2 linked regions of the Drosophila melanogaster genome follow. The protein of the gene in region 1 interacts with the protein of each later gene in a pairwise test. Each region holds a gene or a part of one and is shown on either strand. Other genes may lie near its edges.

The links. Proteins that work in one complex are often made in the same cells at the same time.
Region 2: the proteins of obst-B (region 1) and Calr interact in a two-hybrid assay, tested with the Drosophila melanogaster proteins (one large-scale study listed by BioGRID).

The regions. Positions count from the first base shown.
Region 1 is NT_033779.5:10,030,963-10,039,059, forward strand, and holds obst-B (obstructor-B), read left to right. Parts: upstream 1-1,727; 5' UTR 1,728-1,777; intron 1,778-1,926; 5' UTR 1,927-1,930; coding exon 1,931-1,991; intron 1,992-5,855; coding exon 5,856-6,111; intron 6,112-6,198; coding exon 6,199-6,317; intron 6,318-7,255; coding exon 7,256-7,652; intron 7,653-7,730; coding exon 7,731-7,911; 3' UTR 7,912-7,992; downstream 7,993-8,097.
Region 2 is NT_033777.3:9,628,112-9,632,785, reverse strand, and holds Calr (calreticulin), read left to right. Parts: upstream 1-1,934; 5' UTR 1,935-2,020; coding exon 2,021-2,108; intron 2,109-2,232; coding exon 2,233-2,337; intron 2,338-2,345; exon of another isoform or gene 2,346-2,531; intron 2,532-2,605; coding exon 2,606-3,078; intron 3,079-3,170; coding exon 3,171-3,725; 3' UTR 3,726-4,095; downstream 4,096-4,674. Other genes in the region: SpdS (spermidine synthase), read right to left, coding at 1-409, 932-1,065; CG8319 (uncharacterized protein), read right to left, coding at 4,176-4,674. UniProt on the Drosophila melanogaster protein: Molecular calcium-binding chaperone promoting folding, oligomeric assembly and quality control in the ER via the calreticulin/calnexin cycle.

The DNA.
Region 1 (8,097 bases):
GGACCTGGGATCTGAGAACAAAAAACGGGAATTTCCGCAAGCGCAACGTTTTAATTTGACTCTTGATTGTTATGCCATTGTTGCCTAGCATTGTGCATTCCGCATTCTACACTCGACATTCGGCGCCCTTAACTCTGTGTGGGCTCTTTGTGTAATCGCCGCTAATGCGCCCGAAATTGTGCTAAACGATTTTCATTCTGAGGGCCTCCAATCCTCCAAACCACCAACCTCCACCCCATTTCCGCCCACCAATTTTCGAGACTCCCGGACCGCGGGCTATTAAGCAACTGTGGGCTGTGCGTTACAATAACCATGTTTTAAAGCCCCGCGGGGAAATGGTGATGCTATTTTTCTGACTTATCGCAGGATTATGAATCGTGGGACATTTGCCTTGACTGTGGCCATTGTGATTTGCATTTGCACGCAACATTTGTTAAATTTCTATCGTCATGTATGTCATTTCACTTAATTATGCCATTTACTTTGCATACAAAGCTGCCATAAGTTTGCTACCAAATTCTTGGACAAATTTTTCAGGAAAAGGGCGAGGCATTTTTCCAGCACAGAACAATTTGTCACAATTATTGCACACGAAATGACAGGCAGATGAAAACCAAGCAGCTGGAAAACAAGCTCCGGCTCCGGAAAAGTCGACTCCAAGTAGGCGAGCCGCAACTTTGACAAGTTAAATGTGTTTTGGGCCTGCACAATGATGCAGCAAATGCTCGCTCGGAATATTCAGGAGCAGGAGTAGGAAAAGGAGGAGTACGAGTGGGAGCAGGACGAGCCAGCCACCTGCATGGGCAAACGTGTCCGAAATTTTGTCATATTTTTTGGTTAATTTCAAAAATGCAAATCATCGATGTCCTGGCCGACATCGGAGCACGTCCTGTCGCCTTTTTTGACAAATTTGCCAGCACTGCTCGTGCGGCAATGTGCTCGTTACAAACTTTCTGTGGTGTAGAATATCATGGATCCGGTGGGCTTTGCACTTTGCCATCCTGCAAAACCCGTGCCAGCCGATGTCGATCGTTATGTTTTCCATGGACATGGAGGAGGCCGCTCATTTGTTTGCAGCTTATTCGCATAGTTGATGTTGGTTTGCTGCATGGTTCAGAGGGCCATGGCTTCACTGGGCCATGTTATGCAAAGTTAGCATTTCCATTTCCTGCCTTTGTTTGCGCATCCCTTGGTTAGTTTAGGCCACAGTTGTCCTTCCTACGCAACTAAAAATTTGATTATTTTTACTAACTAATTAGGACTGTGCGGGCTAAGCAGTTTATTTACCTTTCATTAAAGTTCTGAGTGCCTTTTGTGTTGTATTGATTAAGATGCTGCTTCTTTAAACAAGATAGTTACATATTTAAACTATCTTTTTTTATTTCATATACAATGATTTTGTTAGTTTTTGAGTACTTAAGATTATTAGGGTTTCCTCAAGCTGCTCTTAGTTACATTTTCATAGTTTTTAAATTGTTAAAAAGTTGATTGGTTCTTGAAACCTCACATTGGAAAACAATTTCGATGACCAATCGCGTTCGATTGTCTTTAACCATCGTCTTTAACCATCTGACATTAAGAGTCTGAAGCTTTTGAAAAAAGCTCGGACCGGTTTCTCTCCAAACTGCGCATGCGCAGCCATCTAACTGCAGTTCCAATGGAGCAGAGCGAAAGCAGACAAGGTGATGGAGACTTCTGGGCGTTAAAACTCATTGCCCGAGCGATCCGATCGCACAGTTGAGAGCGAGACGTAGACGCGTGCGCACGTACGAGTTTGGTGAGTTCCGATTTCTGCGAGTGTAGTACGATGAATGGTGAATCAAGTGAATGTGGAATGCGGAATGCTGCTCTTGAATGCCGTTTAATGTGCCGCCGGAAAGCATATCAATTTAAAATATTTAAATAATAATCTATCTGTTCGTGCAGGTTTATGTCGGCTAACGAAATGGCGCTTGTGAAAATCTGCATATTTGCTTTGGCTTTGGCCGTGGGTAAGTGTGGAAAAAGCTCTTAATTGCATTTGCCAATTAATGATACGTCAATACCATGGCGTGCAAAATGTCCCTGTGCAAACTCTATTTGAATAATGTGCCGTGACTTTAATGCTCTTCTGCTTTCGGCGAAAACAATCGCCTCTAATTGTTGGCCGCACCCAAACAAACGGGAACAAACCCACAGGCCAACCTAACTACAAACAACGCAACAAACAAACGAACGAACAAATAAACGAACCAACCAGGATAATAGCGACAAACAACCATATGCAAATGCAGAATGCACAGTGCTGCAGCAACTAAGCTGAAAAATATTGTTGTTAACATTATTGGCGCCCATGTTTATGCATATCTGCAGTGTTTGCAATCCTGGCCCTCTTTTCATCATGTCAACTGTTGTCCGATGATTCGATGGCATAGAACACGTGTAAATGCCACATGTAGCATATATGGCATATAGCACTTGCTGTTGTTGTTGCTGCCAATTTGCATGACTTTTGTTTTTCGGTTTTCATACCCTCATACGCTACTCATTGAGTAAAAAGGGTATACCAGATTCGATGCTCTCGGGAAATATAAAAGTTATGTTAAGTTATACAGAATACAGTGGAGACTTACGGGAGCGATTATGTTACTACCGCTAGGTGGAGCTCGTGTGAGCTCGAACGCTAGGTATCTGATAGTCGAGATACTCACCTATAGCGTTCTCTCGTGATTGGATCGGAATTACAGCTGCAAACCCATTGGCATTCCAATTGCAATTGGAAATTCGGCAATTTAATTTGCTGGCAAATTTTCTGCTCATTTATTGTGTGAAAGCTCATTAAAAATTTGTTTGTCTCCAATGTGCGGGGGCATTAAAAATGCACATTGTTAACTCGCCGGCATAAAAACATACATATTAAACAAATTGATAGGCGAGCAACTGTTGCACTCGGGGGGCGTAAGCTGAATTTGGTAATTATATTAAAATGTCTATGGCAAAAATATGGCAACAGCTCATAATTAAATGTATTGCAATTCGGTGCCGCCGGGGTTGAAAGCAAATTAAATTGCCAGTTAATTGAGGAAAAACTCACCGCGTTGAGACAAAGGAAAAGTTTTAATTTGATGGTAAACATGTTTGTACGAAAAGTTTATAATGTGTGTGTTTGCCTATCGAGACGAACACCTTTTTACCCCCTATTTTATAAAAATCTCTTACATCTAATTTAACAAACCGGTCGGTTCTATTGTCAATCTCGCATCAGTTCAGTGAATGACATGAAAAAGTGCTTACAATCTGTTTATTTTTAATCTATTTAATGTTCATTGAACCTAACACGCTGCCTGCACGCACTTTTCCAAGATGACAGCCACGACACCCACGACGTGTGTGACTGGAATCGAAAATCCAAAGATTCAAAGCTCCCAAAAAAAAACCGTATTGTAGCCACGACTCACTCCTCCGTCTGCTTTGCAATCGGCAGTCAATTAATCTAGTCTAACCGGACTGGGAATCGAGTCAAACGGTCCAGGACCGGGTTGAACCGGGTCTGTTGACAACGGTTGACTCCAACTCCAATTCCAACACCAATTCCAATTCCAATTCCTACTGCGACTGCAAACTCCATGGCAAACTTGTTGACAGACTGTCAGAGCGACGCGACGGCCCCCAACCAAGTCGACCAAGTTGACGAGTCGAAAAAAGCCAGGCCCAAACCGCATAGGCCACGCTTCGCTTGACTCGTTCGCCGGGCTGCGAAATAAAAAAAAAAAAAACGGAGGGTCATAAAAATGAAAGGAAAATACCTATTCAGGAGCAGGTCGTAAGGGAAATGCCCTTGGGGGAAAAGCCATTTCAGGCAATTATTAAAGAATGGCTGGGAAAAAGTGAATATTTGAAAGGATAAATATTATTCATTGTTTCATATCGAACAAATATTGTGGCACATTTTATTCGAAACTAAATTTAGTCTGCTTTGCTTTGCTATTTAAAGGCTGCAAGTGGTCCATAGTTTAAATTTAAGCCATTGAATAGTTTGAATGTTCATTTAGTTGAAATTTAACGCAACTAACCGAATCAGCTAACAATAATGTCTGTTAAAATCTACAATTATTTAATTAATTAGGACTTCGATTTTCATTTAAAGTGCTAAAATTAAGCCGAATAGCCAGCTCGAAAAAAAAGTTTTACAATAATGCAATTATGCATTTGGTTTGGTTTAACTTTAGTCGGTGAAAAAACGATGCTTTCAATTTGATAGCTCTCGAATAGGTGTGAATTTATAAAATTAAAAATCAATTAATAATATTAGAGGCATGTTCATACAGTTGTTTATGCAATTTCTTTGTTTTGAGAGTGTCTTTCATTGAACTCCTCCTGCGCAAGAGTATTTGCCAACTGAACTATGAAGCTTTCGTGACTTTTTCTTTTCCAGCTTCTTGTTTGGGTTGGGTATATATATTTTCTTTTTTTTGGTTTTTCACCAGATCCCGGTTCGTGTACGAAACATGTTTCAATGACAAGCGACAGCTGCAACACCCAACACTTGCAGCAGCAGCAGCAGCAGCAACTTGGTGTTGTTGGCTTAAATGTTGGCCGACACTTCACGCACTAATTGCTGTGTGGAATTGTTTCTTTATTAACGTTTAATCGAATGTCAGCCGAGCGACGTCAGCATCAGCAACTTGCTGGCGGCATTGTTGATGTTCACTGCGGCTGCCAAACGAAAATTGAAATCGTCTTTTCTTGTTTCTCTTGTATCGCTTGGCTTTTTACGTATCTACATATATAAAGTATATATATGTATATATATATTTTTTTTGCAATTTTGCTCGGTCTGATTGAAGTGGTTTACCTTGAGGAGAGCTCCACCATGTTAACTGGATGCATTTGCTGCATGTCGCATATCTTGAAAAATTTCTTGCAACTTGCAGGAAATGCTAATTGATACTGAGTTTTCAAGGCTGTGCTTTGGCATCAGCTGCTCGGCGGCTTAGATCAGCTGTTTGTGGATCCAAAACCGGGCTTTGTAATACCCGAGAGACTTTCACTTTTAAGGTCGCTCCAATCCAGTGGCCTGTGTCGCAATCGCAAAGCGACAACTCATATACATATCGGTTGCTATTTGTTGAGTTGCCGCAAACGGGTTTTCACGCAAACATAGTGGAAACGTTGGGCAAAAAACAAAAGGCAAAAACGTGCAAGATACACTTGGAAAAAAAATGCTGAGAAGTTATTACAATCACTTTAGAGTAGGTAAATTGCAGGAACCATGGATCAGTGGTTTGGGAATTTCTAATCCTAATCTAATCTTACAATATCCTAGTCATGAAATCAAAATATATCTTGAGTTTCAAAAGTTTACCGCCATTACATTGCTTAATATGCGAAAGCAATCTAAAAATCAATTACTCTTTCTAAAACAATCAACAGAGTAGCATTGTCAAAAGCTTCAACTAGATTAGATCCTGCAAATAAATTCACAAGCTTAGCAAAGTGTTTGCACTTGTGACAAATGAACATGAGAAATGTTGTTAAAATTCACACTCGATTAGGCGCATTTTGTTTAATAGATTAGCTTAGCATTTTATTGCCGAATGGTATAAGAATAATTGTGCGAAACTGTGGGGCTTTGCTGCAATTTAATAACGAAACTATCGAATTAAATGTAGAAAAAGGTTAAACACAGTTTAAAGTTTGATTTATATTTAAGTTGATAACAGCAATGTGTGCTATTTCATAAACTGGCCATTGCAGAGAGTTTCCATCAGCAAAGTAGATTAAAACTGCAAGCAAGGACATTTTGTGTGTGTGTGTGTTATTTATGTATGGACTGAGTTAACATGTGTATATCTCAACTATCTTCTGGTCTGCAGGTCTGACCGCAACCAAGGCGCAGGAGTCGAGAGGCGGTTTCCGTGGCAGTAACAGCCAGTTTCGCGTGGGTCCTGGCCATCCGCCCTCGCAGCGCCACCTGCCGCCCCGAAACCGTGATCCCGTCCAGGAGGCATCGGTGGTGCCAAAGAGCAAACAGACGGCGGCGGAGAAGGAGTACGAGCCCACCGAGGAGTGCCCGGAGCCCAATGGCTTCTATCCGGACAGCAAGCAGTGCGACAAGTACTACGCCTGCCTGTAAGTGACCAAAAGGAGTAGACACACCCGGCCACGGGGCGTATGAGTAATGGCCGTTGCTTAATGCCACATTGACCACATTTGCAGGGATGGTGTGCCCACGGAGCGACTGTGCGCCGATGGCATGGTCTTCAATGACTACTCACCCATCGAGGAGAAGTGCGATCTGCCCTACAACATTGACTGCATGAAGCGGAGCAAGCTACGTGAGTATAAGTCCTTAATTTGCAAGAACCGCTTTACGTATGCACCGCACAAATCCCAAGACCCCACCTATATATATATATATAGTATACATATATATGCTCCTCCATCTTCTGGGCCAAGAATCGGGCAATAAACGCGCTTCGTGCTCGCACTTATTTGCTCGTTACTTCTTGGCTGCGCTTTTTGTTAACTTATTTATTATGCAAACGGCATGCGCAGCGGTTAACCCAAATTGTTGTCGTCAATAGGTCTTTGGTCTTGGCGGTGCTTTGTTTTCATTTTTCGCCTCCTGAGTAGACTCAGTTTTATTCGTGATTTTATTATTTCCCCAACGCCAGAGTCGCGCCACCAAAAAATTTTAAGCCCAATGCCATGGCAATTGGCTTCCCGCGGTTTTAAACTTGCCACGAATTTGGTCTGCCACGTGTGTGTGTGTGGGAGTAGAGCATCCTTCAAACTTCTCGACAAAGGACTTTTATTAAAGTTCTCACGTTGAGAGTTTCTTGCACTAGCGCTAGTTCAAGTGGATTTAAGAAAATTTCTTATTCACTTAAAAAGTCGCACACATTTTGTGTGACCATTTTTAATATGAAATATTGCTGCACGTTTTAGTTTTTAAATAAATTATTTGCCACCCATCAAGGCAATTAGTACACATTGTGCAGGCCCATTAGCAATTTCAATTACCTTTGTCTCCTGTTGACATACATACATACATACATATAACGTTGCCATGGCATATATGCATATAGTTCGCAAAGCATACAGCACCTGAATAAATGTGTGTCTAGTACATTGTGCTGGCGCAGTAATGTATTTACGGATGTGCAAAAAGGGTTTTACGAGCATACAGATAGATAGATACCTTTTGCGAGGGAAACTCAAGGATGCACAGAGGGAATATTCCATTTGTAATTTCCCTATTGTTCAATCGCAGAAACACCTCAGCCATCGCTTCACTGTCCCCGGAAGAATGGATACTTTGGCCACGAGAAGCCAGGCATCTGCGATAAGTTCTACTTTTGCGTGGATGGTCAGTTCAATATGATTACCTGCCCGGCTGGACTGGTCTTCAATCCCAAGACGGGCATATGTGGCTGGCCTGACCAAGTGGGCGTCACTGGCTGCAAGTCGGAGGATGTCTTCGACTTTGAGTGCCCCAAGGTGAACGAGAGCATCGCAGTGACACATCCCCGCTACGCCGATCCCAACGATTGCCAGTTCTTCTACGTCTGCGTCAACGGAGATCTGCCCAGGCGAAACGGATGCAAACTGGGCCAGGTCTTCGACGAGGAGAAGGAGACCTGCGACTGGGCACGCAAGGTGCCAGATTGGTAAGCTATAGTTATCCCTAATATAAAGTACTATTGGGAATTTTATTCTTGGATTCTAATAACTACATCCCATTTCAGTGCCGACTGGTACAAGGATCGTCTGACCGACAAGGAGCTGGATGAGCTGGAGAACCCGAAGCCCAAGACCACGACCACCAAGAGGCCGCCACGTGTCCGCGGTCAGTCGAGGCGCAAGCCCCAGCCGAAGCGAGTGGAACCGGAGCAGGTTAAGGAGGAGGAGGAGGAGGAGGAGGAGTAGGCCTGATCCCCCCGACTGTGTTAGTCTTAAGTGAACCCCCCGCTGATTGTCGCCATTAAAAAGCGTGCAGAAGGTGTACCTAACCATTGATCGGTTTTGCTCAAACTGGATGGTGACATGGGCCAACCCATCTGTATCACTTGATACTGATGGGCAATCCGCGGATGCCAGGGGAATTAGCTCCAT
Region 2 (4,674 bases), on another chromosome or scaffold:
TAGCTCGTAGTAGCTTTCCTGAAACAGGCTCACTGCCGGACCAATGGGATCCGAGCTGTCGGTGATGATGACATCAAATTCGTTCTTGTGTTTCTTCATATAGTCGAATCCATCGCCAATGGTAAGCTTCAACTTCTCGTTGGCGAAACCACAGGCCATCGCTGGGAGATATTGCTTGGACAGCTCGACGACACGGTCGTCGATTTCCACCTGATGCACTTCCTCGACCAGTGGATGCTTTACCACCTCGCGAGCAACGCCGCCATCGCCACCGCCCACGATCAGGACCTTTTTGGGATTGGGATGGGCGCAGAGCGGCAGGAAAGATATCATCTCCTGGTACGAGAACTCATCCCTGGCCGTGCACTGAATGATTCCGTCCAGAATTAGGCACCGTCCATAGGTTTCGCTGTAATAGAATTATCGAATTATTGATTTTTTCAGCGGCGCAAGTGTACCCAATGTTCGACTGGAGGAACTCAAACCTGAAAGACGAGCTGACTTGCTATCAGTATTCTGTCTGTCGTTTTTGGCCCTAGATGACTCCATCGATAAGGCTGTTGGTGCAGATCAAGAATAAACACACGAAAACCAAAGGGTCCGAAAATGCTGGCTGGGCAATTTGTGTTTGAACAACCAGTGGAAAATTTTCGATTTCTACAATCTATGATTTAGGGACCTTCAATGTAGGATACATATGGGATTAGGCTATTGTAGGTTAGTCCTTAAAATCTCAACAGCTTAAGCTGTTAAAAATTTCGGATTTGTGTGACTTGCGTGTTTATAATGATTTTAATTTAGTTTTTTAATCTCAATCTAAGCTAATTTATTTTGACATCTATCTTCAAACTTCAGTCTAGACTGAGGAATTTCGGATGTAAACAAATGGGGTTGTGTGTCCAAGTATTTGTTTATCTATTATTTATCTTACGTTTCAACGATCTGGATGTCTTGGAACCGGGACTTCTCCTTGTGGATGACCTCCTTGACTTTCAGGGAGAATGACTGACCGGGCCAGAGATCGGCCTGCAGTTCGCTGAACCATCCGTTGTTAAGGGAATCCATTTGTTTAATGCCGCATTCGAATCGGCGTTTGATAAGATTGGCTCAACACGTGGGCTCGACACGAACTTACCGTATCTGCCACAAAGCTAGGTCTTAAAAAATACCTTAGAAGGTCTATTGGTATAAATACCAAAGCTTTTTTGTTTTAATTAATTTAATTTCACTTTTCTATTTCTGGCTATTTATCTTTTTTATTAATATAATACATTTCCAGCGAAAATTGTAATTTTTTAATGTAATAAAGTCAAATGTAAAAGTTAGCACTTATAGATAAAAAAGTTCCTAAAATTAACGAAATACAGGTGCAAAGTTTTGGAATTCCTTTATTTGTTTTTGATTTGTATTATAATGTATAATTAACATTCTAACTTTTTAAATACTATGAACTTTATCGGGTGAAAACTTAATTGTTAACATGTGATGTAAGTGTGAGTTAAAATTTTCAAAACCCTTAAGCCGTTAAAAAGCTTAGGAATGTTCTGGAAGCACAACTGTTCTTCCTGTAACTACTACAATTGTTAAGTAGTAGAAGAATTGTTATTGGAGTAATTTTATGTTTTCTTAGCTTAGCCTGCTGCAAGTGATTAATTGTATGCCAGAATATATTAATTTTATATATTTTATAATTTAATTTAATTAGCAAACGGTCACTTTAGTGTTTCTAATTCCAGCTCAAGCAATCGATAGCGACAGGGCAGCATGCGATTGCTTATCGAAATCAGCCCTGGCCGGTGAAAAAGAATACGTAGACATCCCTGATTGGCCTGATTTGGGCCAATGAAAACGTTCCAGCAAACCAATTTCAGTAACAAGCCGTCCCGCTCCGACACGCACGATTTAGATGCAATAAATAAATAGCACTTTCTTGCCGGCATTTAGTACTTAACTTTAACCGAGTTCGGACAACCATCGGAGTTGGAAGAGTCAGTCCAAAAAGTGGTGCGGGATCGTTCACATGATGTGGTGCAAAACAGTGATAGTGTTGCTGGCGACAGTCGGCTTTATTAGTGCCGAGGTTTATCTGAAGGAGAATTTCGACAACGGTAAGTGGTAGTCATCGCGTTCTATGGCCGCCATGTGGTCCTCCGCTCCCCTTCAATGAATAACGAAAGGAGAGACAATAAAAATAGAAGAATAATAAAAGCACTCCCCCGCTTGTTCCCGTAGAAAACTGGGAGGATACGTGGATCTACAGCAAACATCCTGGCAAGGAGTTCGGAAAATTCGTCCTCACCCCCGGTACCTTCTACAACGATGCTGAGGCCGACAAAGGTAGCGTATATGTGTCGATGTGTCGTCACTCCCTTTTCCAAATCTTTCTCTTCGCTCGTTCTGCCATTTTTATTTTTCGTCGGCGTGTTATCTGCATTTGTATGTGCCCGTGTATGCGGAGAACATGGGCACGAAGAAGAAGAGGAAGAAGAAGAAAAACCACTACGTGTACGTTTTCGAGTAGCTATAGTAACTGTATACACATTTTTTCTCGCCCCCCACCTCCGCGCGGCGCGCATTCGTATTGATGTGGACACACATTATATAGGCATTCAGACCTCTCAGGATGCTCGATTCTACGCGGCCAGCCGCAAGTTTGATGGCTTCTCCAACGAGGACAAGCCCCTCGTGGTGCAGTTCTCCGTGAAGCACGAGCAGAATATCGACTGCGGCGGCGGCTATGTGAAGCTGTTCGACTGCTCCCTCGACCAGACCGACATGCACGGCGAGTCGCCGTACGAGATCATGTTCGGCCCGGACATCTGCGGACCCGGCACCAAGAAGGTCCATGTGATCTTCAGCTACAAGGGCAAGAACCACCTAATCAGCAAAGACATCCGCTGCAAAGATGACGTGTACACCCACTTCTACACGCTGATTGTCAGACCCGACAACACGTACGAGGTGCTCATCGACAACGAGAAGGTGGAGTCTGGCAACCTGGAGGACGACTGGGACTTCCTGGCCCCCAAGAAGATCAAGGATCCCACCGCCACCAAGCCCGAAGACTGGGACGATAGGGTAAGTTGTAAATCCCCGCCCAAATCAGACTTTAGCCCATCGAAAAACCGGTTTGGCTCATTGTTATTAAACAACAACGTAAATCTCTGTAGGCCACCATTCCCGATCCCGATGACAAGAAGCCCGAGGACTGGGACAAACCAGAGCACATTCCCGACCCAGATGCCACAAAGCCTGAGGATTGGGACGATGAGATGGACGGCGAGTGGGAGCCACCGATGATCGACAACCCTGAGTTCAAGGGCGAGTGGCAGCCAAAGCAGCTGGACAACCCCAACTACAAGGGCGCCTGGGAGCATCCCGAGATCGCCAATCCCGAGTATGTGCCCGACGACAAGCTGTATCTGCGCAAGGAGATCTGCACCCTGGGCTTCGATCTCTGGCAGGTCAAGTCCGGCACTATCTTCGACAACGTCCTGATCACGGACGACGTGGAGCTGGCCGCTAAGGCTGCTGCCGAAGTCAAGAACACCCAGGCGGGCGAGAAGAAAATGAAGGAGGCCCAGGATGAGGTGCAGCGCAAGAAGGACGAGGAGGAGGCGAAAAAGGCTTCCGACAAGGACGATGAGGACGAGGATGATGACGATGAGGAGAAGGATGATGAATCTAAGCAAGACAAAGATCAAAGCGAACACGACGAATTGTAAGGACGTCTAGGGAAAATTACGTCGAGAAATATTCGGTATTTTTTGTGTGTTGGTAGCTGCTTTGATGTTCTAAGCAAACGGAAACCACAATTACAATTTGTAAGACTTATAATTTATAAACATACAACTTGTTGTTTTTTTCCATTGCTCTTTTCGAGCGATTTAAGGGTTGTTTAGCTTGTTTATCAAAATGGTGGTGCCACGTGAACAAATCACGGCCGAATGGCAACGCTGTCTATATCGTCGTGTCTACATCGAATTTTGATTTACAGAAAAACGGTGTTGCCACTCCAAATGGTTTTCAAAGTGCTGTTCGAATTCTACGAAAATATAAATCCTAAATTCAATTAAATCCCAATATGAACTATAGAAACAATGAGATATAAACATAACCGAATCCTAATTTATTTATTCGAGTAAGCCGTGGTATTTGGTCAAGAATTTAAGGTATCACTTTAGCTTTAGCTTTTGATCTCCATCCCGATGCTTGCCCAGAAAGTGCCGCTTCAGATGATGTTTCTCCCGGAAGTCCTGCAGGCAGATGGAACACTTGTAGGGCCGTTCATCCGAGTGGCGTCGTCGGTGCTTCGCCAGGTTATTGTTGTCCGAAAAAGTCTTGGGGCAGTGGGGGCATTGGTAGGGCTTCTCGCCCGTGTGTATGCGGATGTGGACCTTAAGGGCCTGCTTGGAACGGAAGTTGGACACGCAGAAGGGACAGGCATGCGGCCGTTCGCCCATGTGCGCATGGATGTGCACCTTGAGGGCCGACTTGTTGAAGAATCCCGTTTGGCAGTATGAACATTTGTGGGGTCCGTTTCCCTGTTTCGATTCCGCGTGGATCAACAGGTGCGCCTTGAGGTTTTGTTCGCGAGTAAAGGCCTGCTGACAGTGGGGGCACTGAAAGGGCGAACGCTCCTGCATATCCTTGCATTTGTGGCTGTCCAGGCTC